4 linked regions of the Caenorhabditis elegans genome follow. The protein of the gene in region 1 purifies or fractionates together with the protein of each later gene. This does not show direct contact. Each region holds a gene or a part of one and is shown in the gene's direction. Other genes may lie near its edges.

Region 1 (7,504 bases):
ACAATGTTTAAATTAGCCCGACTTTCATTCAAAAGCTCACAAATTGATTTTATTGAACTGTCTAAATATTTCTGGTTTCCATAAACTGCTTTATGTTCATAATACAATTCTCTTTTCGTTGATCTTTTGTCATTTTCGAGCAAATCATAAACTTGGTGAAGACAGTGCAAATCTCTATCCAATTTTCCTTTCCTCTTTGCTGTATAACGAAGGCAAAAATGTGATTTACTAGTCGATCTGAAAAAAAAAACAAAATTACTCAAACATTTTCAACAGGAACTTATTACATTCTCAAAGTCAACGATTTCTCTTTGTTATCCATTTGCCTTTTAATATCTGCAAGAGCGAATTCAATTTTTCTCATAGCTTGTTCCTTCGGTGGTATTACTTCATCGTCAAGAAAACTGTCATCAGAATCATCAGAATCCGAATAAATAGTGGATTGTTGAGATTCTACCTGAAAATTGCAAAATTAGATTTGAATCAGCAATATTAAGCTTACAGATCCGGGCTCATGATCGATATTTGGGTTGAAAGAATATTCATACATGCTTTAAACTAATTAGTAGAACAAAAATACAGATAAAATGGAATAAAACTTTGATAAAACTTGGACGCAAGCTAATAAGGCTCCAGCTGCAAGATACAAAAAGTCAATAATCGAAAGGACCATACGTGAAAATAAAGCACGGGTCCCGCAGCGAATCGGAGTAGTACTGTAATTTTCGTCAGATTTTTAATACTCGGCGCCGACGAGTCTCAATGTTCGATCTTCTTTTCTATATTCTTAAATTGACATTTTTCTTCAAAAAATATTTTAAAATGCATTTCTTAAATATAACTCGGTTTTTCTCAATCCCTGCCGAAAAACCACAGCTTAAATGCAATTTTGAAGCGAATGACTGCACCATTCATTTCGTCGCAGTCGAAGAAGATTTTTATAGAATATAAAATTTATGTATAGTATTCATTTTTTTCTTAAACTAGCATTAAATGTTGTTGCGCTGAAATATTTTTGCTATATTAAATTTCCTTCAAATACTTTATTCAAATAGTCATAATGAAGCTCTGATATGGTCTATATCTACCGTAGTCTTCTTGTATTTTCCACTATTCCTTCTTTTCTTGTCTCTTTTCCCATTCATTTGTCCTCTCCGCCGCAATGGCCCGTTTCCAATGCAGGCAGACATGCAGAGTGTCTGCGTCTCTCCATTTCCAATAGTGTTTCTCCTCACTTTGCCTCTCTGGCCAATCGACGCTCGGCGCGTCCACTGCATACATTCAAACCTTCTTCTTCCCCAGCTGCTTAGTCTAACACACAATTTAGACCATTTTTCATGGATTTTCTCGGTTTTCAGACGAATTTCACGATATCAAGCGATACTAGTTATCAGTATACACTTATACGTCGTTGGAAAACGAAAAAACCTCTCAGGATTCATGAAAAGTCGATTCGTACACGTCACTACTTATCGATTTTTTCACAATCTTTAGAAATCGTCAATCTTTTAGTTTTTTCTTAGCTTTTCTTATCTCACTAGCTCACAAAGGGCCCCCGAAGAGTTCTCCGTGTTTTATATGCGCTAGAAATTTTGAATGCGCGCCGAAAGTTGTGTCCTGCAATACACTACATCTCTCTTTCACTTGCACGCTATTTCTCGGTTCCATCAGTCCTACTCTTTTTGCACTAGGATGGATGGAAAGTCTATATATTGTCCTCGGTTTTATTATTCACGCAGGCTTCTTCTGAAATTCGCTTATATACTATTACCGCAATACTTTTTGTTTATCTTGAATGTTCAATTGAATCTAAAATTCTGAATTAATAATTGTTTCAGACTATCAATTTGAAAGAAGATAGTGTATCAAATTGCTGGAATTTTGAAGAATGAGCGGAAGGCCGGCGTTTGAGCAGTTTACTGCTCAACCACCGCAACCAGCCGGTGAAGTTGTTGCTCAGCAAGCTGGTGATGGAGCTCAAGGCCAAGAGCTGACAATTTCCAAACTGGAAAATGCGATAACTTCAATGGAGGAACAAGGTCTTCAGAATGACCATCGACACGCCAAAGCAGTTCTTTTGAAGCAAAAACTCCAATCTGGTCTCCCAGACGCCGTTCCAGGACAGGAAAATGGCGGGAATCAACAAATTACCCCAGCACAACTCAATCAACTGAGGGCTCAAGTGTCAGCCTATCGTCTTTTGGCTCGAAATGAACAAGTACCGGCCAACTTGATTGCGGATGCTGTCATGCTCCGACCAAAAGTTACAACTTTGTTGCCTGAACCTTATGAATATCCAGGAGAGGCAGAGAATGGAGAAAAGTTGCCGTATGATTTGATGAAGGTAGGTAAAATGGATCGAATGAAACTATACAGTCTACTTTTTTACAGATTTTCAATCTCCATCAAATACGCTGTAATCGTCCAACAACAATTTCTGTTCCATCAGGAATTGATCCTGTTGGCATGCTCAAGCAAAGAGAAAATATGATTCAAAACAGAATCGGGCTACGCATGAAGCTACTCAATAACTTACCCGCCGACATTCCAGATCACATGAAATTGAAAGCAGAAATCGAATTGCGTGCTTTACGTCTTGTCAATCTCCAAACTCAGGTAATTTCTGGATTCGAAGAGTATTTTAACCAATAAGCTGTTTTTAGGTGCGCAGTGAAGTGATGGCTTGTCTCAAAAGAGACACAACTCTCGAAACTGCACTCAATCCATATGCGTATCGACGCACAAAGCGGCAATCTTTACGCGAAGCTCGTGTTACCGAAAAGCTTGAGAAGCAACAAAAGATGGAGCAAGAAAGAAAGAGAAGGCAGAAGCATACTGATTTGATGCAAGCTATCATTCAGCATGGAAAGGAATTCAAGGAGTATCATAGGTGAGATTGTATTTAGAAAGTTCTCCTACTAATTAAATTATTTTCAGAAACAATCTTCTGAAAATGGCAAAGTCTCGCAAGGCAGTCATGACATATCATCAAAACAATGAACGTGAACGCAAGAAGGACGAGATTCGAAATGAAAAACTTCGTATGCAAAAACTGATGCAAGAAGATGAAGAAGGATATCGTGCTCTTCTTGATGAGAAGAAAGATCAACGTCTTGTGTATCTTCTTCAACAAACCGATGAGTACGTCGACTCTCTGTGCTCACTTGTTCGTCAACATCAAAATACCGAAAAGAAAAAGAAGAAGGAAGATAAGAAAATTGAAAAAGGAAATCAAATGGATGAGGAAGCCAGGGTTCACGTTCGGGAGAGAAGCACTGGAAAAGCGCTTACTGGAGATCAAGCTCCAAAGACTGAAGAAATTGAGTTTTGGCTTGAAACTCATCCAGAATATGAGATAGTTCCACGTGATCAGCTTAGTGATGACGAAGAAGAGGAAGAGGAAGAGGCTCCAGTGGAACCAGAAGAAGAGAAGGATGATCAGTACGCTGGAATGGATGAAGAGACAAAAGCTAAGATGATCCTCGAGAAGGCACGTAACGAAGAGGATGAATATGATCAGAAAACGAAAAAGCAAATGGCTGATTACTATGCAACTGCTCACAAAATCAAAGAAAAGGTTGTCAAGCAACACACAACGATGGGTGGTGGTGATCCGAATCTTCTGCTGAAACCGTATCAGATTAAGGGATTGGAATGGATGGTCTCCTTATACAACAACAATCTGAACGGTATCCTCGCCGACGAAATGGGTCTAGGAAAAACTATTCAGGTAGGAATTTGGGAAATGAGGAAATATTAATCAATTTTTAATTTTCAGACAATCTCGTTGGTGACGTATTTGATGGAAGTCAAACAAAACAATGGACCATATCTTGTCATCGTACCGCTCTCCACGTTGTCCAATTGGCAGAACGAATTTGCTAAATGGGCTCCATCTGTAACCACTATCATCTATAAAGGAACTAAAGATGCTCGTCGTCGTGTTGAAGGACAAATCAGAAAAGGAGCGTTCAACGTTTTGATGACAACATATGAATATGTGATCAAAGAGAAAGCACTGCTTGGTAAAATCCGTTGGAAGTATATGATAATCGACGAAGGACATCGTTTGAAGAATCACAATTGTAAATTGACATTGATGTTGAACGGATTCTTCCATGCTCAGCATCGTTTACTTCTTACTGGTACTCCACTTCAGAACAAACTTCCTGAGCTATGGGCTCTGCTGAACTTCTTACTTCCATCGATCTTCTCATCTTGTGGAACTTTCGAACAATGGTTCAATGCTCCATTTGCGACTACAGGAGAGAAAGTAGAACTGAATCAAGAAGAGACGATGCTCATCATCAGAAGACTGCACAAGGTTCTTCGTCCATTCTTGCTGAGACGTCTCAAAAAGGAAGTAGAATCACAGCTTCCTGACAAGACCGAGTATGTCATCAAGTGTGACCAGTCTGCTTTGCAAAAGGTTATTTATCGTCATATGCAGAAAGGATTGCTTCTCGACGCTAAAATGTCATCTGGAGCACGTTCGTTGATGAACACTGTCGTGCATCTTCGCAAGCTTTGCAATCACCCGTTCCTTTTCCCTAATATTGAAGATTCCTGCCGTGCATACTGGAAGGTCAACGAAGTCAATGGAACCGATCTAATGCGTGTTGCTGGAAAGTTGGAACTTCTCGATCGTATTCTACCGAAACTAAAGGCAACAGGTCATCGAATTCTGATGTTCTTCCAGATGACGTCTATGATGAACATTTTCGAAGACTTTTTGAATTTCCGAAGATACACGTACCTCCGTTTAGACGGTTCAACTAAACCAGACGAGCGTGGAGATCTGCTGACACAGTTTAATGCTCCTAACAGTGATTTGTTCCTTTTCATGCTTTCTACAAGAGCTGGAGGTCTTGGACTCAATTTGCAAACTGCTGATACTGTTATTATCTTTGATTCGGATTGGAATCCTCATCAGGATATGCAGGCTCAAGATCGTGCACATCGTATCGGACAAAAGAAAGAAGTTCGAGTTCTTCGTCTCATCACAGCTAACTCTGTTGAAGAGAAAATTCTTGCCGCTGCTCGCTACAAGTTGAATGTCGACGAGAAAGTTATTCAAGCAGGAAAGTTCGATCAACGTTCAACTGGAGCTGAAAGAAAGCAAATGCTCGAACAAATTATTCAAGCAGACGGAGAAGAGGAAGAAGAAGAGGAAGTTCCAGATGATGAAACTGTGAATCAGATGGTTGCTCGCTCAGAGGAAGAATTTAATATCTTCCAATCGATGGATATTGATCGTCGTCGTGAAGAAGCTAATCAACTTCACCGTAAACCCCGTCTTCTAGAAGAACATGAAATTCCAGACGATATTCTCAAATTGTCATTCGATTATGAGGAAATGGAACGAGCCAGAGAGGAAGGTCGTGAAGTTGTTGATCAAACTCCTAATCAGAGAAGACGCAGAAGAGAGGTAAGGAATATATAAGAGAATTTACAATATTAATTCATTTTCAGGTCGACTACTCTTCCGATCTTTTGTCCGATGAACAGTTCATGAAACAAGTTGAGGAAGTTGAGGATGAAAATAATCAAGCTGTGGCTGAACGTAAAAAGCAAAGAAAACGTAAAATGGCTGGATTGGACGAGAATGATGATTCTATGGATGACGTTGTTCTACAACACAAGAAGAAGAAGACGGATCCAGAATTGGCAGAAAAAATCAATGAAATGCTTGATGTTATTCTAGAATATAAAAATGAGGATGGAGAACTCATCGCGGATGTATTCCAGACACTTCCAACTCGTAAAGAACTGCCGGACTATTATCAAGTGATTTCCAAACCAATGGATTTCGATCGAATCAACAAAAAGATCGAAACAGGACGTTATACGGTTATGGAAGAATTGAATGATGATATGAATTTGCTTGTGAACAATGCTCAAACATACAACGAAGAAGGCAGTGAGATTTATGTTAGCTCTGAAACAATCGGAAAATTGTGGAAGGAACAATACGATAAGGTATGATTGATTTTTGAAATTTCGAAGTTTACATTACTTTTTCAGTTTATGAATCCACCGAAGCCAGTAGAAGAACCAGTCAAGAAGAAAGAACCTTCAACCCCATCAACTTCATCTTCTCGTCCCTCAACCAGTGGCACTCCAAGTGTGTCAGATCTTCAGCGGACACAACAGGCAACTGCTCAGCAAATGTTAATGCTTATGACACATATGCAATCACTTCCACCCGCACAGGCTCAGCAGTTTCAACAGGCATTGATGACACAGACCGGTGGAAATCAAGCCCTAATGCTTCAATATATGCAGTCGGCTATGCTAGCTCAACGTGCACAAGCTTCAACTAAAGTAACCCCCAAAAAGGACGAGAAAAAAGAAACTTCGTCTTCTGTAAAGACCGAGGAAGCTAAGAAAGATGATGAACCATCAACATCGTCTGCAAGTGCACCACCACCGAAAAAGAAGAAGGAATCGGAAGATAGTGAAGACCCAATGGAAGAAGATGAAGAAGAGGAGATCATTGGACAAAAGAAGGTTACTTGAACTTTTTTAATGTCTTTAAGTCTAATATTTAATTTCCAGGAACCAGCATCAAGCCGTCGAAAGTCTCGTCCAACTCGCCGCTTCTCGAACGAGGATGAGGAAGAAGAAGACGACGAGTGATCAAAACTAGTCTGCTCCAAATATTTTCATGTCCCCATAAACATTTATTCTCTGTTTGTGTATTCTTCATGTTCTATGATTTCTGATTTTTTGAGCTGTCACCATAAATATGTCCCACCTCGTTCCCCCATTCTTATCTCTCCTGCTTCACAGTTATCTCTCATCGCTTTTTTACTGTTTATCTCTACTTCTCTTTTCTGTCGCAAGCTACACGTTTGCAGGAAAAAATCCCTGAAACAAAAGCATTAAGCATTGTATTTAACCCATATTCCACTTTTAATCCATACTATTCGTCAACTATTTTAAAGAAAAATTTAATTTTATAAACATTTCGAGAGAAATATGCTTTTGTTATCAAGAATTATTTTCGAATTTCGTTGCGATTTCTTTTATTAAATACTTTCCGTCTTAGTTCGAGATTTTGAATGTTTAATCAAACACACTTATGATTTAGGTAAACGGGAACAAATGTCGGCACTCAGAAGCACTAAGGTGAGTTTAAGAGCTTGAAAAGGTTGAATACTTGCTCCAAAATTGAAAGTGTTATCTGAAAACCCTACGTTCTATCTTCTCAGGGTCTCGTTGCTCTCGTCACTGGCGGAGCGTCTGGACTGGGAAAGGGTGCTGCCGAAGTTTTGGCAAAGGCTGGTGCACAGGTCGCTATTCTTGATCTTCCACAGTCAAAAGGAGCCGATGTTGCGAAGGAGATCGGAGGAATCTTTACACCAGCTTCGGTAACAATGATTTCATGCTACATTTGTAAAGAGAAACTTCAAGTAAAATATTACCCAGACGCCAATTTTGCGATCTCTGTCTCGACACGCCCTTTTTTGTAAAATAGAAACGAGTGTGTGCCTTTAAAGAG
Region 2 (3,662 bases), on another chromosome or scaffold:
AAAATATACTTATTAATTGAAGGCAGAGCTTGTAAATCACCCCGTTGTGCACTAATGCGAACATGTGTGATGGAACATACACTGAGCAGACATATGCTATACATCTTTTAAGGCTATTTAATATTTTCTTTCCACATTTTGAAATTAATTTATTTTTTTTTAATCTTCATTGATATTGGTCTATGTGTGCAAGCACTTGTGAGGGCGGAAAGATGTTCAGAAATCATCGGGAGAGTACCAACTGATATTGAGGAGCAGAAAAAAAACCAGTGGGGGGGGGGGGGGGGCAGGCAAGAAACTCATGCAGGATTTTCTTGGTATATTCGATGAGATAGAAATACTTTCGAAGAGTTTACAAACATCACAGCATAGGGGATCGAAAATGGCAAAAAAGTCTGCGGACCCAATCAGTAATTGGAACGCTAGTGAAGAATTTTTGCGTGGGAAGGTGCAAGGGAAATTAGATGACACATATAAATACTGGAGGAATCGTAGTCTAGATACCTTTTCACTTGAAGAAACCATAAGCCTTTCGACTTTTCTGAAGGTTTGCTTTTTTAACGATTTCCTCGTGACAGAAAGAAAATGAGGCGTGTATAACGATTAGCGCATATTGGGTTGGTTCTGGTATTGCGCTGCCCGCACAGCAATTGCTGGTTAGAAGAGCTTAAGTCAAACCATTCATTGAAACATACATTGACCGGTTTTGTCTATCCTTTTCGAAGCTATTTTCTTCTCAAGAATATATCCTTGGAAAGCCCTAGAAATTAATGTTAGAATTTTGAAGATTTAAAAATTAGAAAATTGTGAAATGTTCACAATTTTTCGTTGCGCATATGAAGGAATTTCGAAATATTTGCGATGACTCATGCAATTTCTGAGAACCAAGCGCATGTTGAAATGCGCCGCCCTTTTATTTTCTATATCTCCAAAGAAGGAATGGCATTTTCCACATTCCTAGCGATCTCTATATTAATTTTGACGAGATTAACGCCGTTCACCGATACCTTCTCGCCACTTTCTGTTTGACCCGCCCGTAGTTATCCGAAAACGGAGATGAGATACCAGATCCAACAAACGTTTCAACAGAAATATTATTAATTTTAGTATATTCGAAATAATATAGTCCTACTCTTTCTCAAGCAAAAATTATTATTGTTTTCGAATTAATCCACCCTTTATATAAAAACAATACCTGATTCGGCGAATACTTCAATGAATCACGAAGAAAAATTGAGGAATGATTAAAAAATCACGAAAATCAATGAAAAAGAATTGAAACGTGTTCCCAAAAAAGGAAAAGATGACTCAACATGACGGTCAGCAAGTGTGCTCTATCGGCCTTCCCGCGCGGAACCCATTTGAATTAGCGCGCGAAGCCACGCCTCTGTTCGAGAGTTTTCTGCTGTTGAATTGGGCATGCGACGACTTTTTTGTCAGTTTCGTATCGAATTTTTATCTTTTACCGACTTCCCTCTTATCAAACACGTTCGTCGCGTTGTTCAAATATATTGATAACGGTCTCACCACTCTTTTCTCTCTGTTTCCCTTCTTTTTTCAATAGGAATATGCAAATTTTTAGGCCGAATGCTGATTTCTCTTTTCTCGCTGCACTTGCATACAATTTGTGTTTAAGAACCAATTGGTTTTGTTTTGATACTATAGCTGGTTTAATTGGAAAGCTTTTGATCATCAATTTTGAAATCTCTATCTTATCACCGTAATATCTTGTTCGGCAAAATTATGATTCATAATTCATAATTATTTTGTAGGCTAAGTTCCTCCTAATCTAATAAATCATGTGTGACGACGATGTTGCCGCTCTCGTAGTTGACAATGGATCCGGAATGTGCAAAGCTGGATTCGCTGGAGACGACGCTCCACGCGCCGTGTTCCCATCCATTGTCGGAAGACCTCGTCATCAAGGAGTCATGGTCGGTATGGGACAGAAAGACTCGTACGTCGGAGACGAGGCCCAATCCAAGAGAGGTAAATTTTCAAAAAATTTGACCGATTGGAAATAGTTGTTTTTAGGTATCCTTACCCTTAAGTACCCAATTGAGCATGGTATCGTTACCAACTGGGACGACATGGAAAAAATCTGGCATCACACTTTCTACAACGAGCTTCGCGTTGCCCCAGAAGAGCACCCAGTACTTCTCACTGAAGCCCCACTCAATCCAAAGGCTAACCGTGAAAAGATGACCCAAATCATGTTCGAGACCTTCAATACCCCAGCCATGTATGTCGCCATCCAAGCTGTCCTCTCCCTCTACGCTTCCGGACGTACCACCGGAATCGTCCTCGACTCTGGAGATGGTGTTACCCACACAGTCCCAATCTACGAAGGATATGCCCTCCCACACGCCATCCTCCGTCTTGACTTGGCTGGACGTGATCTTACTGATTACCTCATGAAGATCCTTACCGAGCGTGGTTACTCTTTCACCACCACCGCTGAGCGTGAAATCGTCCGTGACATCAAGGAGAAGCTTTGTTACGTCGCCCTCGATTTCGAGCAAGAAATGGCCACCGCCGCTTCTTCCTCTTCCCTCGAGAAGTCCTACGAACTTCCTGACGGACAAGTCATCACTGTTGGAAACGAACGCTTCCGTTGCCCAGAGGCTCTGTTCCAACCATCCTTCTTGGGTATGGAATCTGCAGGAATCCACGAGACTTCTTACAACTCCATCATGAAGTGCGACATTGATATCCGTAAGGACTTGTACGCCAACACTGTTCTTTCCGGAGGAACCACCATGTACCCAGGAATTGCTGATCGTATGCAGAAGGAAATCACCGCTCTTGCCCCATCGTAAGTTTTCTATTTTTGTTTTAGTTAACAAATTAATTTGATTTTTTTTCAGAACCATGAAGATCAAGATCATCGCCCCACCAGAGCGCAAGTACTCCGTCTGGATCGGAGGATCTATCCTCGCCTCCCTCTCCACCTTCCAACAGATGTGGATCTCCAAGCAAGAATACGACGAGTCTGGACCATCAATTGTTCATCGCAAATGCTTCTAAACGTTTTAACAATTTATGTAATATTCACCTGAACTTTTGGAAATGTCCAGATAACGTCATCTGCCTTACGGATTTTCACACCCCGATTTTAAATTATAAATCTGCTTCGTGTAAGCATCGTTTTAAAATTTGTCGGTTTATTTTAATAATATTTCTAAACGTGAAATCGTATATATACTTTTAGTTTAGTGGTCCAATGTCATCATTGGTAAACTTCATCGTTTAACGTGACCTCCAAGTCCAGATCGCGGTTGTTGATAAGCATTTCTGGAGTCAACTTCTTATCAGTTCGGTGTCGATTGCGTTCACTGTTCCTGTTGATTGAAATTTCCCGCGTTACGATAATCTCGTCTCTCCCTCTTCGCCAGTTGCTCTTTCGGGCCGAAATTTTCTTTATCTAACTGTTTCTCTATAAGATCTATCTCACATTGTCAGGTTTTTTTCTTTCTGCGCCTCCACCAGTTAGAATTGAGAACCTAATATTTTGTGTATTTATCGTCATTTCACTGGATTTTGACATGGTTTCTTAAAGGTGCACAGACTTGTTCCGATGGGTCTTACTGCGCAAAAAGTTCGTGGTACTTTAAAAAATGTATACTTTGAAAATGTTTTTAAACAATTTTTATTATTCATAA
Region 3 (4,952 bases), on another chromosome or scaffold:
GGATGTAGAGCTGATTTTCAGTGGAAAATTCTAATTTTCTGTGAAAAAAATCGAGTTTTTTGGGTAAAAATTCATAGAAATCTGAATTTTTCCCCCAAAAATTGAATTTTTAGTCAATTTTTACCATGTTTAACCCTAATAAATCCCCATTTCCCCCCCCCCCCCCCCCCCCCCCCCCCCCATTTTCGTGTCAATTTTCGGGTAAAATTCCCATTTTTCGCTTGTATTTTTGCCCATTTTTCATTGTTTTTTCTCTCGAATTTTCTCAGATAATCAATCAATTTAATTGAATCTTTTTTTTTGTTGAAAAAATTGAATCATTTTCCATAATTTTGTCATTTTTTTCCCATAATTTGAAATGAATTTCTCACTTTCCTATTTTCGCTATTCTTTTCCGGTTTTTTCGGGGGGAAATCCTCGAAAAAGTGTAATTTTGCACTTGAATATTTTTTTTTTTAATAGTTTTTCTATTTTTTAGCTGAAAATTCAATTTTTAAACGTTTTTTCACATAAACCAACGTTTAACAGAAATTTTGTTTTAAAAATCGGTAAAAACCGAATAAAAAGTGAAAATTCGAAGAAAAATTTAGAAAAAAACAATTTTTATTCAAAAACTCTAATTTTGCTGTAAAAATTTGGAAAAAACTTATTTTCATCACATTTTTAGTCGCTAAATTCAATTTTCAGTCGAAAAATTGAATTTTCAAGCGAAATTTTGAATTTTCAGTCAGAAATTCTGCTAAAAATTGCAAATTTCATGAATTTTTCTTCAAAAATTTCATTTTTTAATGCCAAAATCCAATAAATTCCACAAAATCATAATTAAAATTCGAGTTTCAATTCCAAAAATTCTGAATTTTCCACAAAAAAAAGATTTTTTCCGCACTTGGTTGCTCACACTACAAACTACACAATTTTCTAGCCTCACTCAACTTTTGGTGAGGCTTAAAAAGTTGTAGTTTGTAGTGTCGGCCTCAACCAAATGCATTTTTCGAGCAATTTTAAGCCGAAAAGTCAGAAAAAACTCAACTTTTTGCCGAAAAACTTTGAAAAAATTAGATTTTCATAACATTTTTAGTCGAAAAATGAATTTTCCCGGTGAAAAATTAAATTTTTCAGCGAAATGATTGTAAATTTCATTTTTTTTCTTGAAAAGTCTAATTTTTATGCGAAAATCAATCAAATTTGAAGAAATAATAATTAAAATTCGAGTTTCATTCAAAAAACTGAGAACTTTCCCCAAAAAATTAGTTTTTCCGGAGTTGGTTGAGGCTCACACTACAAAAACTACAACATTTTCTAGCCTCGCCCAACCTTTGGTGAGGCTGAAAAAGTTGTAGTTTTTGTAGTGTGAGCCTCAACCAAATCCATTTTTCACTCAAAATCGAGCAATTTTGAGCAGAAAATCCATTTTTTCCGTGAAAAAATTTAAAAATTCGTGAATCATCAGGTTTTTAGAATTATTTTTAAAGTTATTATCGTAATTTTTTCCAATTTTCTACAAGTTTTTAGTCTCACCAAAAGTTGGTTGAGGCTAGAAAATGTTGTAGTTTGTAGTCTGTGCATTTTTTGGTGTTTTCTTCTTAATTTGCACAATTTTGATTCATTGTTTATTCGGAAAAATGGAAATTTTATCGATTTTCAAATTCAAATTAAATAAAAATTCAATTTTGAGACTAAATTAATGGTTTTTTTTTCGAATTTTTCAAAATTTCCGTTTTCTTTTTTTTCTCTGAAAATTTTCTAAAGAATATCAATAGACAGAACTCATGAATTTTCAAAATTCAAAATCTCTAAAACTCAAAATCGAGCAACTTTGAGCAGAAAATTCAGAAAATATTCAATTTTTTCGTGAAAATTTCTTGAAAAATTCGTGAATCTCCAGGTTTTTAAAATATTTTTCAAAATTTTTTATTGTAATTTTTTCCAGTAATGAACAATACACATCATCACACAAATGGGTATCGAACGGAAAAGCCAAAAAATGAAGAAGATCTAGAGGATCCTTACGCTAATCTCTCGGATTTCTACAAAAATCATCCGGCAGCACGGAATGAAGGTAGCGAAAATCGAAAAAAAAAACTTTGGAATTTCACTAATTTTTCATTTTTTTCATTTTTTCAGCATGTTCGTCAGCTTCTAATGGCGGCTCTAAAAGTGTGAAAATGGAGCCAAAAGTGGAAAAAAATGAAGAATTTGAAGAATATATTGGTGATCCTGTACGATTAGAAGATATGGAACCATTTGCAAGACCATCACTTCGAGATGATGCACCACTTTCATCTATTTTACATCCGGATCTTGATGGAATTGATCCGAGGTACTGAAAACCACAAATTTCTGTTGAAATTGACGTTTTTTACCGGAAATTTCCACGAAAAACTCAAAAATTCTATCAAAAATCACTGAAAATTGGGAAATTTGACAAAAAATTTCATTTCCTGCCGAATCCTGTAATGTGTAGTATGAGATGTGTGTGGTATAAAAATTGACAAATTTTAATTTAATAACATTAAAAAAAATTTCATTTTTCTCTAAAAACTTTATTTTTTTTTCCATTTTTACAAACTTTTTTATAAAATCACCCGAAAATTCGAATTTTCTTCGGAAAATCTATTTTAAAAACTCTGAAAATTGCTCGAAAATGACATTTTTTGAATAAAGTATTCCAAAAATGCTCAAAACGTGCTGTTTCTTCCAAAATTCCATAATTTTCTTTTAAAATTCCGCAAAATTTGCTTGCCCTTGAAATTGAAAACTGAAATTTTTTGAATTTCCCGCCAAAAGTCGATTTGGAAAGAGTTTTTGCTGGAAAAATCAAAAATTTCGACAAAAAATCGTAAAATGGGATTTTTTTTTCAAAATTTTTCGAAAAAAAATCGAGTAAAAGTGACGATTTTTTTTTCAATTTTTGTTGAATAAATCGAATATTCAGTAAAATTTTCATTTTTTTTTCTCGAAAAATTGATAGAAATTCTAATTTCGTTGGAAAAAACAAATTTTCACTTTTTTTAAGCATGAAAAGCGCCATTATTTCAAAAAATTGGCAAACATTTGCCGAAATTCGAATTTCGCGCAAAAATCGAATAAAAGTGACGATTTTTGTTGGAAAAATCGAATTTTCACTGAAATGTTGGGTTTTGTTTTATTCGAAAATTGAAAATTGAAATTCGAATTTTGCTCCAAAAGTCAGTTTTCCAATGAAGTTTCATAAAAACACACAAATACACAATTTTTAAGTCAAAAAACCCGAAAATTGGCAATTTCTGCAAAAATTCCTTTAAAAAACTCAAAAATTCACTCAAAAATCGTTGAAACCCGTGTCACTTTTCCCCGAAAAAACCCACAATTTTTCCACACAAACCCATGGTTTTCCTAGCCATCAGAAATCTCATGTAAAACTCGAAAATTTGCTTTAAAATTGTTAAACCTTTTTTTCGAGCCAAAAAAGCCAAAAAAAGCCTGAAAATTGGCCAATTTCTGCAAAAATTCCAAAAAAAATGGTTGAAACCCGTCATTTTTCCCCTGAAAACTGGTTTTTCTCGCCGAAAAACTCGAAATTTTGATGTAAAATTGCTAAAAACTGCTAATTTCTTCTAGAATTCCATAATTCTCTGTTAAAATTTCCAAAAAAATTCCGAAAATTCGCCAAAAATTCACGCAAATCACTGAAAACCCCCATTTTTCCGCAAAATCCTTTAATTTTATTTTCAGAATCTTCTTCAAAGACTTCAATCCAAACAAAACTCTTCGTTTCTCTCGACTTTTTGCTCAAAATATCAAACATACGTCCCGTGCCGAGATCTGGTGGGCTTCCCGAACCTTCTCCAAACATCAACGCAAAAAAGAGCCCGAAGAGCCCCTCGCTGATGACGTCATCGTTGGAGCCAAAAAGCTGAAGCTTAACATCATTGAGAAGGTGCCACGTGTCATGTTGGCTGACGATGAAGAAGAACGAATGCGGAGACCGATACTGACGGATGCAGAGGAAATGGCAAAGAAAAATGAAGAGGGTACGGTAGTTCAGCCGTGGAGAACGGGTCCCGCCAAGATTTGGTATGATATGATGAATTTGCCGATGACTAGTCAAGCTGTTAATTATGGATTCAAACTGAAGGTAAAAATAATGAAAATTTGCAGAAAATCGGCTGAAAATTGCTCAAAAAAATGGAATTTCCTTTGAAAAACTGACTTAAAAATGGCTGAAATTGGCTAAAAATGATCAAAATTAAAGTTTCCTGGTAAAAAATACACTGAAAATGGCTGAAAAATGGCTGAAATTCGCCAAAAATTGAAGTTTTCAATAAAAAAAACCCTAAAAATCGCACTAAAAATCTGAAAAAATTACCAAAAAAGCGCAAATTTGACACAGTTTGCTCAAAAAAATTTGGTTGAAGCTAGAAAATTTCGTAGTTTGTAGTATGAGCCTCAACCAAAATTGAGAATTTTAAATTGGTTGAGGCTAAAAAGTTGTAGTTTGTAGTATGAGCCTCAACCAAAATTGAGAATTTTAAATTGGTTGAGGCTAAAAAGTTGTAGTTTGTAGTGTGAGCCTCAACCAAAATTGAGAACTTTAAATTGGTTGAGGCTAGAAAATGTTGTAGTTTGTAGTGTGAGCCTCACCCAAAATTGGTTGAGGCTAGAAAATGTTGTAGTTTGTAGTGTGAGCCTCACCTTAAATTGGTTGAGGCTAAAAAAGTTGTAGTTTGTAGTGTGAGCCTCAACCAAAATTGGTTGAGGCTAGAAAATGTTGTAGTTTGTAGTGTGAGCCTCACTCAACAATATATTTTTAGTTGAAAAACGTGATTTTCAGTCAATTTTTGATAATTTTTAACTAAAAATTCCTGAAAAATATAATTTCCAGCTCAATTCCGACAATTTTCCGGTTATTTTCACGGCTTAAACAGCATTTCATGAGTTTTCAGACAATTTTCGGTCATCTTAGACAATTT
Region 4 (7,532 bases), on another chromosome or scaffold:
CTACTGTGTGCACGAACTGATGGTCCACATGAACCACCGAGAGCCGGTGTTCGTTCACCGACATCGTCGTCCATGAATCCAGAAGACAAGAAGAATCTTCAGAATAGAAGACGTTGAAAAATGAAAAGGAAGAAGATGAGGCAAGTAGAGGAGAGCGAGTAGTAGTTGTTCCCCCTCCTTCGCCTCCTACTCCCCCCAACTGCTTACTCTTTTTCTCTCGTTCACTCTCTTCCAATCTCTCACTTACTTTTGAAAGCCTTTTCAGAGAAAAAGAGAGTAAAAGAAAGTGCGCAGAGAGCTTTGGAATGAGAGAGGCGCAGAGTTTGAAACGAAAAGCTGCGCGCTCGACTGGCCCCAGGGTGGGGCGGGTCCAAGAGTGTGGAAGAGAGAGAGAGAGGATGGAGAATAGACATTGAGCCTCAATCTTTCGATTATTGTGCTCATGGATTCGGGGGATCCCATGGGATTTGATAAGTATGTCGGAAACAGCAAATGAATGAATAATTAGCGATGGAAATTAGGACTTCAACTAATGAAAAATGGTCAGCAAGTGAATATCTTGGGGGTTTTTCGGATATGATGATCAGCAGGTTCAGGTTATCAAAGTAATGCAGTTTAAGTGAACCTTCACTGTAGGCACTTACCCCCTAGGCATCTGGTAGGGCGTATATCTAGAATTGAAACACTGATTCAAGCGAAACTTTTTCAACTACCGTACTCGGGAGTACTGTAGTACCTCAATCTTTCTCGCCAAATTTCTCCTGAAATTACAGAACTTATGAATTGATTTTTCCTCGAAAAAATCTACGTATATATTTGAAATCGGGAAATAAGGAAAAAAAACTTTTAAAAAGCTTCTATCATACTCGCTGGTACGGTATTTGATAAAGTTTTTCTTCGTGGTAAGATTTTTGTTGATGAAAGAATGAGTCTGTGAAGAATAAACCTTCAAAATTGAACATGGTAGTTGAATGAAAATTAATCTTTTATGCCTAAATAATTTCACATAGCTATATAGCTATTACATTTTTCGCAACAATTCTGAATACCCCGGTTATCGTATTTCGTCGTCTTGGATGCTTGCTAAATGAACCAATTTGTTTACCTATCACGCAATAAAGATGAATCGAAATCACTTTTCGCAATATCGCTTTAAAATGAAACATATAATTCCTAAAATACGCGAAACTCGGGAAAGCGATATTTTTTAAACGACCGCGTTTTTCTATCTCTACCCGCCTCTTGCAATCCCACACTCTCTCGCCTAGCATCACAATGGGGCGCAGTTGCATAAATCGCTTCGCGTTCAAATTCAGAAAATCGTCTCATTTTTATTTTTGTCCTCGACCCGAATGGCCGGTTTCCTTCTTTCTCCGTTTTCTTTATTGATTAATTTTCGCTCGTTTGGCCTAAAAACCGCGTAAAATCCGTCATTTTTCACCTATCTGGCTAATTTTTTTTGCACAAAATAAGATTTTTCAGTTTTCTTTCACTTTTAAACCTTTTCCGCACTGTGAGCTGTTTGCAATTTTCTTAATTTTGCTCTTTGTGCTTTTCGAAATTTTTGTATTATGAAATTTCGTTCTTCCCAAGTGAAATTAACTGAATTTGTTGCAGGTAATGGATTTTATCGATAATCAAGCCGAAGAATCAGATGCCTCCTCGGGCCATTCTGATGATGAAGAACCACAGTCGAAAAAGATGAAAATGGCAAAGGAAAAATCAAAAAGAAAGAAGAAAATGGTTGCCAGGTAATTATAATTCCGGGGTATTTCTATTTTCATTTGTTCATTTTTAGTTCTGACGAAGATGAAGACGACGATGACGATGAAGAGGAAAACCGTAAAGAAATGCAGGGATTCATTGCAGATGATGACGATGAAGAAGAGGACGCAAAATCGGAGAAGTCAGAAAAATCTCGGCACTCGGGAGAAGATGAGCTCGACGATGAAGATCTTGATTTGATCAATGAGAATTATGATATTCGAGAGACGAAAAAACAAAATCGAGTTCAATTGGGTGATTCCAGTGATGAAGATGAGCCGATACGAGTGAGTAATTTCGATTTTTTTCAATTGCCACTAAAATTCATAATAATAATAATAATCAAATTCGGAATTTCAGAGACCCAACCACGAAGATGATGATTTGCTTTCCGAACGAGGAAGTGACGATGGAGACAGGCGAAAAGATCGTGGTCGTGGAGATCGCGGTGGTTACGGATCAGAGTCTGAAAGAAGTGAGGATGACTTTATTGAGGACGATGGAGATGCGCCACGAAGACATCGGAAACGTCATCGTGGAGACGAAAATCTCCCAGAAGGCGCTGAAGATGACGCCCGTGATGTATTCGGAGTGGAAGACTTCAATTTGGACGAGTTTTACGACGATGATGATGGCGAGGATGGTCTAGAAGACGAAGAGGAGGAAATAATAGAAGATGATGGTGAAGGAGGAGAGATAAAGGTTGGAATTTTTGAGAAAAGCTTTGCATTATTGAAATAGGAATGGTTCAGATACGCAGAAAGAAGGATACTACAAAGAAGTCAACACTTCTCGAATCCATCGAACCAAGTGAAATTGATCGTGGATTCTTGTTACCTGGGGATAAGAAAATCGCGAAAGAAGATTTACCAGAGAGGTTCCAACTCAGAAGAACACCAGTTACAGAAGCGGATGATGATGAACTGGAATCTGAAGCTCTATGGATTATTAAATATGCCTTCGAAGAAGGGACAGTGACAAATCAAGCTGACCTGGATCAAGACGATAAACTTGATTGTATAATGAATCTGGATCCTTCTGTCTATGAAGATAGAAAGAAAGCTGTTATAAAATCCATCAAGAAAGTTCTCCAATTCATTCGAGTTCGTTCTAATTCGTTCGAACCTACGTTTATTGGATTTTATCGTAAAGAAGATATTGACAATCTTCTGACAATGAATAATCTATGGAGAGTATACGATTTTGACGAAAAATGGTGTCATTTGTCAGAGAAGAAAAATAAAATTTACGATTTAATGCGTCGGATGAGAGAGTATCAGGAACTCAGTGACGATTTGACCGCAAAAAGACGACCGATTTCGGATGCAGATTTGATGGAGTAAGTTTTAAAATTTAAAATTTAGAATTTAAATTATTTTTCAGCACAAAATACGCAGAAACTCTTGAACAGCTTACCGACATACATGCAAATTTCCAATTGTTGTACGGTGCTCTTCTCGACGATATGATTAGATGGGAAAAAGGACGTTTAACCGGTGAAGAAGAGGAACAAGAGTATCGAGTCAAGTTCAAGTCAAGCATTCGTAATGATAAGTATCAAATGTGTGTGGAAAACGGAATCGGAGAGCTTGCTGGACGGTTTGGATTGACTGCAAAACAGTTTTCTGAAAATTTGAACTGGAAAAAACACGACATTGAGCAAGATCCGATGTTACCATTGGAAGCAGCAGAAGAGTATGTTTGTCCTGCGTTCAGTGACAGTGATATGGTTCTGAATGGTGCGAAATTCATGCTTGCCAAGGAGATCAGTCGACAACCACAAGTCAGGCATAGTGTTCGGCAAGAATTCCGCCAGTCTGCACATTTTTGGATCAAGCCAACGAAGAAAGGACGTGATACAATTGATCAAACTCATCCCCTCTATGACAAACGGTATATCAAGGTGAGAATTATTTGAAATAAATGTCTAGGATTTTAATAAATATATATTTTTAGAGTAAACCAGTTCGAAGTCTCACCGCTGAAGAGTTCCTCTTCTATCACAAAGCCAAAGAGGATGGTCTTGTTGATGTGCTCATCATGTATGAATCTGAAGAAGATCAGGATTCAAATAACTACCTCGTTAACAAGTATCTAAGTGATTCCATTTTCCAAAAAGACGAATACACGGAAAATGTTGAACAATGGAATTCAGTGAGAGATGAGTGTGTGAATATGGCTATAACTGAAATGCTTGTACCCTACATGAGGGATGAGTTGTATAATACGATTCTTGAAGAAGCAAAGACTGCAGTAGCAAAGAAATGTAGAAAGGAGTTTGCATCTCGAATTTCTAGATCAGGATATCTGGTATTAATTTGATTTAATAACTATGTAATTGTTTTGTTTTATTTCAGCCGGATTTCGATAATAACGATGACGATGATGATGGTATGGATCAACATGGAGCTCGTCGAATCATGGCAGTGTGCTATCCAACAGAGCGAGACGAAGCTTCATTTGGTGTAATGGTTGATGAAAATGGTGCAATTGTTGATTATCTTCGAATGGTTCATTTCACGAAACGAACGTTTGGCGGTGGAAACAATGGACTAAGGAAGGCCGAGTCAATGGATTTGTTTAAGAAGTTTGTACAGAGACGAAAACCTCATGCTATTGGATTGAATATTGAGGATATGGAGTGTACTCGATTGAAGGTTTGCACTAGTTTTGAACATTTGATACTTAAAAACTGCAATTTTCAGAGAGACCTCGAGGAAGCTGTGGCAGATCTTTTCTCGCAGAACTTGATCTACAAACCAATTCCAGTATTTTTGATGGACAACGAAGCCGCAAAAGTCTACATGAGATCGAATGTTTCGTTGGCGGAGAATCCAGATCATCCACCGACGCTCCGACAAGCTTTATCCCTAGCTCGTCTTCTTTTGGATCCCATCCCAGAGTATGCTCATTTGTGGAATATTGATGAAGATATTTTCTGTCTCTCTCTGCATCCGCTTCAACGGGATATCGATCAAGAGCAATTGGCTTTGGTTCTCAGTCATGAATTGGTGAACAAGGTCAACGAAGAAGGTGTTGATATCAATAAATGTGCAGAATTCCCTCACTACACTAACATGCTCCAGTTCACATGCGGATTGGGTCCACGAAAAGCCACTGATCTTCTGAAAAGCATAAAAGCTAACGATAATTTGATAGAGAGTAGATCGAAACTTGTGGTTGGATGCAAACTGGGACCAAAAGTATTTATGAACTGTGCTGGATTCATCAAAATTGACACTATCAAGGTATCGGAGAAGACTGACGCTTATGTTGAAGTTCTTGACGGTTCGAGAGTACATCCAGAGACCTATGAATGGGCTAGAAAGATGGCTGTGGATGCGTTGGAGGTTGATGATTCTGCTGATCCAACTGCGGCTCTTCAAGAAATCATGGAATCTCCTGATCGTTTGAGAGATCTCGATTTGGACGCGTTTGCCGATGAATTGAGTCGACAAGGATTCGGAGAGAAAAAGTCGACGTTGTATGACATCTCAAGCGAGTTGAGTGCGAGATATAAAGATCTTCGGCAACCATTCCAAGAACCTACCGGAGAGCTTTTGTATGATCTTTTGGCTCGTTCAGGAAAAGAAATTAGAGTATGTTACTTGTAATAATTCTGTCGATTTTATTTTTATTTTTGCAGGAAGGAGCTAAAGTGTTGGGAACAGTTCAATCTGTGCAGTACCGTAAAGTTGACAAAGATGCAGCAGACAGCATGTTACCTGATGTTGGAGAAGATGGTCTTTTCACTTGTCCATGTTGTAAATCGTTCACATCTTCGGCTCCTGGTGGAATTCAAGAACATATGCTCGGTGACGTAAGTTTTTCTCAACTAATACTATTCGTTAACCAATGTTAAATTATTTCAGTCTCGTCAAGGTGGATGTCCTGGAACACCAGTCGGAATTCGAGTCAGATTTGACAATGGAATGACTGGATTCTGTCCGAACAAGAACATCTCATCAAGTCACGTAGACAATCCATTAACCCGAGTCAAGATAAATCAGCCATATTACTTCAAAGTTCTCAAGTTGGACAAGGAGAGATTCTCACTATTCCTAAGTTGTAAGAGTTCGGATCTGAAAGAAGATGATTTATCTCAACGTGATCAGTACTGGGATGAGCATCAATACCAAGCTGATTTGGAACTGATGAAGAGTGAATCGAAAAAGAAGACAGAAGCAAATACACGTGTGAAGCGAGTAATTGCGCATCCAAATTTCCATAATGTATCCTACGAAGCTGCTACGAAAATGTTGGATGAAATGGATTGGTCTGAGTGTATTATTCGTCCATCGGCTAATAAAGATTCTGGTCTTTCTGTGACATGGAAGATTTGTGACCGCGTCTATCACAATTTCTTTGTCAAAGAATCCGCAAAGGATCAAGTTTTCTCCATTGGTCGGCAACTCTCAGTCGGCGGAGAAGATTTCGAGGATCTTGATGAGTTGATTGCTCGATTCGTTCAACCGATGATACAGATCTCTCACGAGATAACAACTCACAAGTACTTCTTCCCAAATGGAACATGCGAAGAAACAGAAGCAGTCGAGCAATTTGTACGAGAGAAGAAACGAGAGCTGGGACGATCTCCGTACGTATTCAGTGCATCCTACAGACAGCCATGCCAATTCTGTATTTCTTATATGTTCGATAATACAGAACGGATTCGACATGAATATTTCAAAAGTGAGTTTCGAAAAGAGATACGAACAAAGTTTTCAACTATTTTTGTTTACAGTTGTCCCACATGGAGTCCGATTCCGACATCAAAACTTTGATACGCTAGATCGAATGATGGCTTGGTTCAAACGCCATTTCCACGAGCCTCCCATCGAGTTAAGGCGATCTGCGATCCCGGCTCCACAGTATCGAGTTGGTGCTCCTCCAGCAGCTCCATACTATCCTCCTCAATTCGTCGGCTATCACTGAAAACCCTGATCTTATTCTCTTTATTACCCACACCTTATCAGACACATTCAATCCTGTTTCCTTTGTTCCAGTCTATCAACGATGATCTAATTTTAATTTATAGAATACAACATCCATCTGTCTTAATCCCACATAATTTGTTTTGATTTCGGTAATCCGTTCATCCTCGATTTTTACTTTTCAAACATTTTTATATATCTATCAAAATATTTATTCAAGCAGTCATACTGTTCATGAGCTCTTTCTGTATTCAAGTACCATTTTTGTTGTTTACTCAATAAATTTCGTAATCAGAATCACTGCTAAATCATCACGAAAAAACGTAGAATGCGTTGATCACAATTGATATTGGAATAAGAATTGCAAATTCAGTTTTAGAAGAAAAAAAAGTATTCTAGATTCTACTCATATGAATGATTCATCACTAAAAAAGGCACTGTCCCAAAACTCGATCTCATCCGCGCCAAGGTAGTAAGGTTTTTGTTTCTGTCGTATCTATTTAACCTAAACGTAAATTAAAAAATATCTGTCTTTTTTTCTAGGCGTCCTCAAAAACTTGGAAGTGTGCAGAGTATTGTAAGAAATGAATCTGACAAAAGTAAGTTTCAAATCAAATTTCCCAATTAAATCAATTAATTTACTTTTTGAGATGTTCCTTCTCCTTTCGAAGAGATCACACTGAGCGACGATGATGAAGAAGCACCGGCTAAGAAACCTGTAAAATGTGCGACGTGTGCACGAGATATGACTCTTTGGATGAATTCCAGAAGGTTTGAAATATTATTTGTGTTTCTTCTCACTGTTCAAATTTTAGAGATATTCATGTAAAAGTT

Evidence for each region.
Region 2: the proteins of swsn-4 (region 1) and act-2 fractionate together in Caenorhabditis elegans (co-fractionation; one large-scale study listed by BioGRID). This does not show direct contact.
Region 3: the proteins of swsn-4 (region 1) and taf-1 fractionate together in Caenorhabditis elegans (co-fractionation; one large-scale study listed by BioGRID). This does not show direct contact.
Region 4: the proteins of swsn-4 (region 1) and emb-5 fractionate together in Caenorhabditis elegans (co-fractionation; one large-scale study listed by BioGRID). This does not show direct contact.

Annotation. Positions count from the first base shown.
Region 1 is NC_003282.8:11,124,186-11,131,689, forward strand, and holds swsn-4 (SWI/SNF chromatin remodeling complex core catalytic subunit swsn-4), read left to right. Parts: upstream 1-1,838; 5' UTR 1,839-1,888; coding exon 1,889-2,344; intron 2,345-2,391; coding exon 2,392-2,616; intron 2,617-2,663; coding exon 2,664-2,890; intron 2,891-2,937; coding exon 2,938-3,730; intron 3,731-3,778; coding exon 3,779-5,428; intron 5,429-5,472; coding exon 5,473-5,979; intron 5,980-6,024; coding exon 6,025-6,510; intron 6,511-6,558; coding exon 6,559-6,639; 3' UTR 6,640-6,977; downstream 6,978-7,504. Other genes in the region: Meiotic recombination protein spo-11, read right to left, coding at 3-237, 288-457, 503-550; ard-1 (3-hydroxyacyl-CoA dehydrogenase type-2), read left to right, coding at 7,108-7,131, 7,215-7,373.
Region 2 is NC_003283.11:11,076,265-11,079,926, reverse strand, and holds act-2 (Actin-2), read left to right. Parts: upstream 1-1,772; 5' UTR 1,773-1,799; coding exon 1,800-1,989; intron 1,990-2,034; coding exon 2,035-2,815; intron 2,816-2,867; coding exon 2,868-3,027; 3' UTR 3,028-3,150; downstream 3,151-3,662. UniProt on the Caenorhabditis elegans protein: Actins are highly conserved proteins that are involved in various types of cell motility and are ubiquitously expressed in all eukaryotic cells.
Region 3 is NC_003279.8:13,859,544-13,864,495, forward strand, and holds the start of taf-1 (Transcription initiation factor TFIID subunit 1), read left to right. Parts: upstream 1-1,930; 5' UTR 1,931-1,932; coding exon 1,933-2,059; intron 2,060-2,124; coding exon 2,125-2,320; intron 2,321-3,714; coding exon 3,715-4,117; intron 4,118-4,952. Other genes in the region: W04A8.6 (ANK_REP_REGION domain-containing protein), read left to right, coding at 1-8. UniProt on the Caenorhabditis elegans protein: The TFIID basal transcription factor complex plays a major role in the initiation of RNA polymerase II (Pol II)-dependent transcription.
Region 4 is NC_003281.10:4,714,754-4,722,285, reverse strand, and holds emb-5 (Suppressor of Ty 6 homolog), read left to right. Parts: upstream 1-1,615; 5' UTR 1,616-1,620; coding exon 1,621-1,751; intron 1,752-1,798; coding exon 1,799-2,051; intron 2,052-2,124; coding exon 2,125-2,466; intron 2,467-2,516; coding exon 2,517-3,103; intron 3,104-3,147; coding exon 3,148-3,667; intron 3,668-3,720; coding exon 3,721-4,074; intron 4,075-4,121; coding exon 4,122-4,421; intron 4,422-4,469; coding exon 4,470-5,363; intron 5,364-5,410; coding exon 5,411-5,584; intron 5,585-5,636; coding exon 5,637-6,456; intron 6,457-6,508; coding exon 6,509-6,699; 3' UTR 6,700-6,993; downstream 6,994-7,532. Other genes in the region: acy-1 (adenylate cyclase), read right to left, coding at 1-74; him-18 (SAP domain-containing protein), read left to right, coding at 7,109-7,167, 7,242-7,297, 7,349-7,469, 7,514-7,532. UniProt on the Caenorhabditis elegans protein: Histone H3-H4 chaperone that plays a role in maintenance of chromatin structure during RNA polymerase II transcription elongation.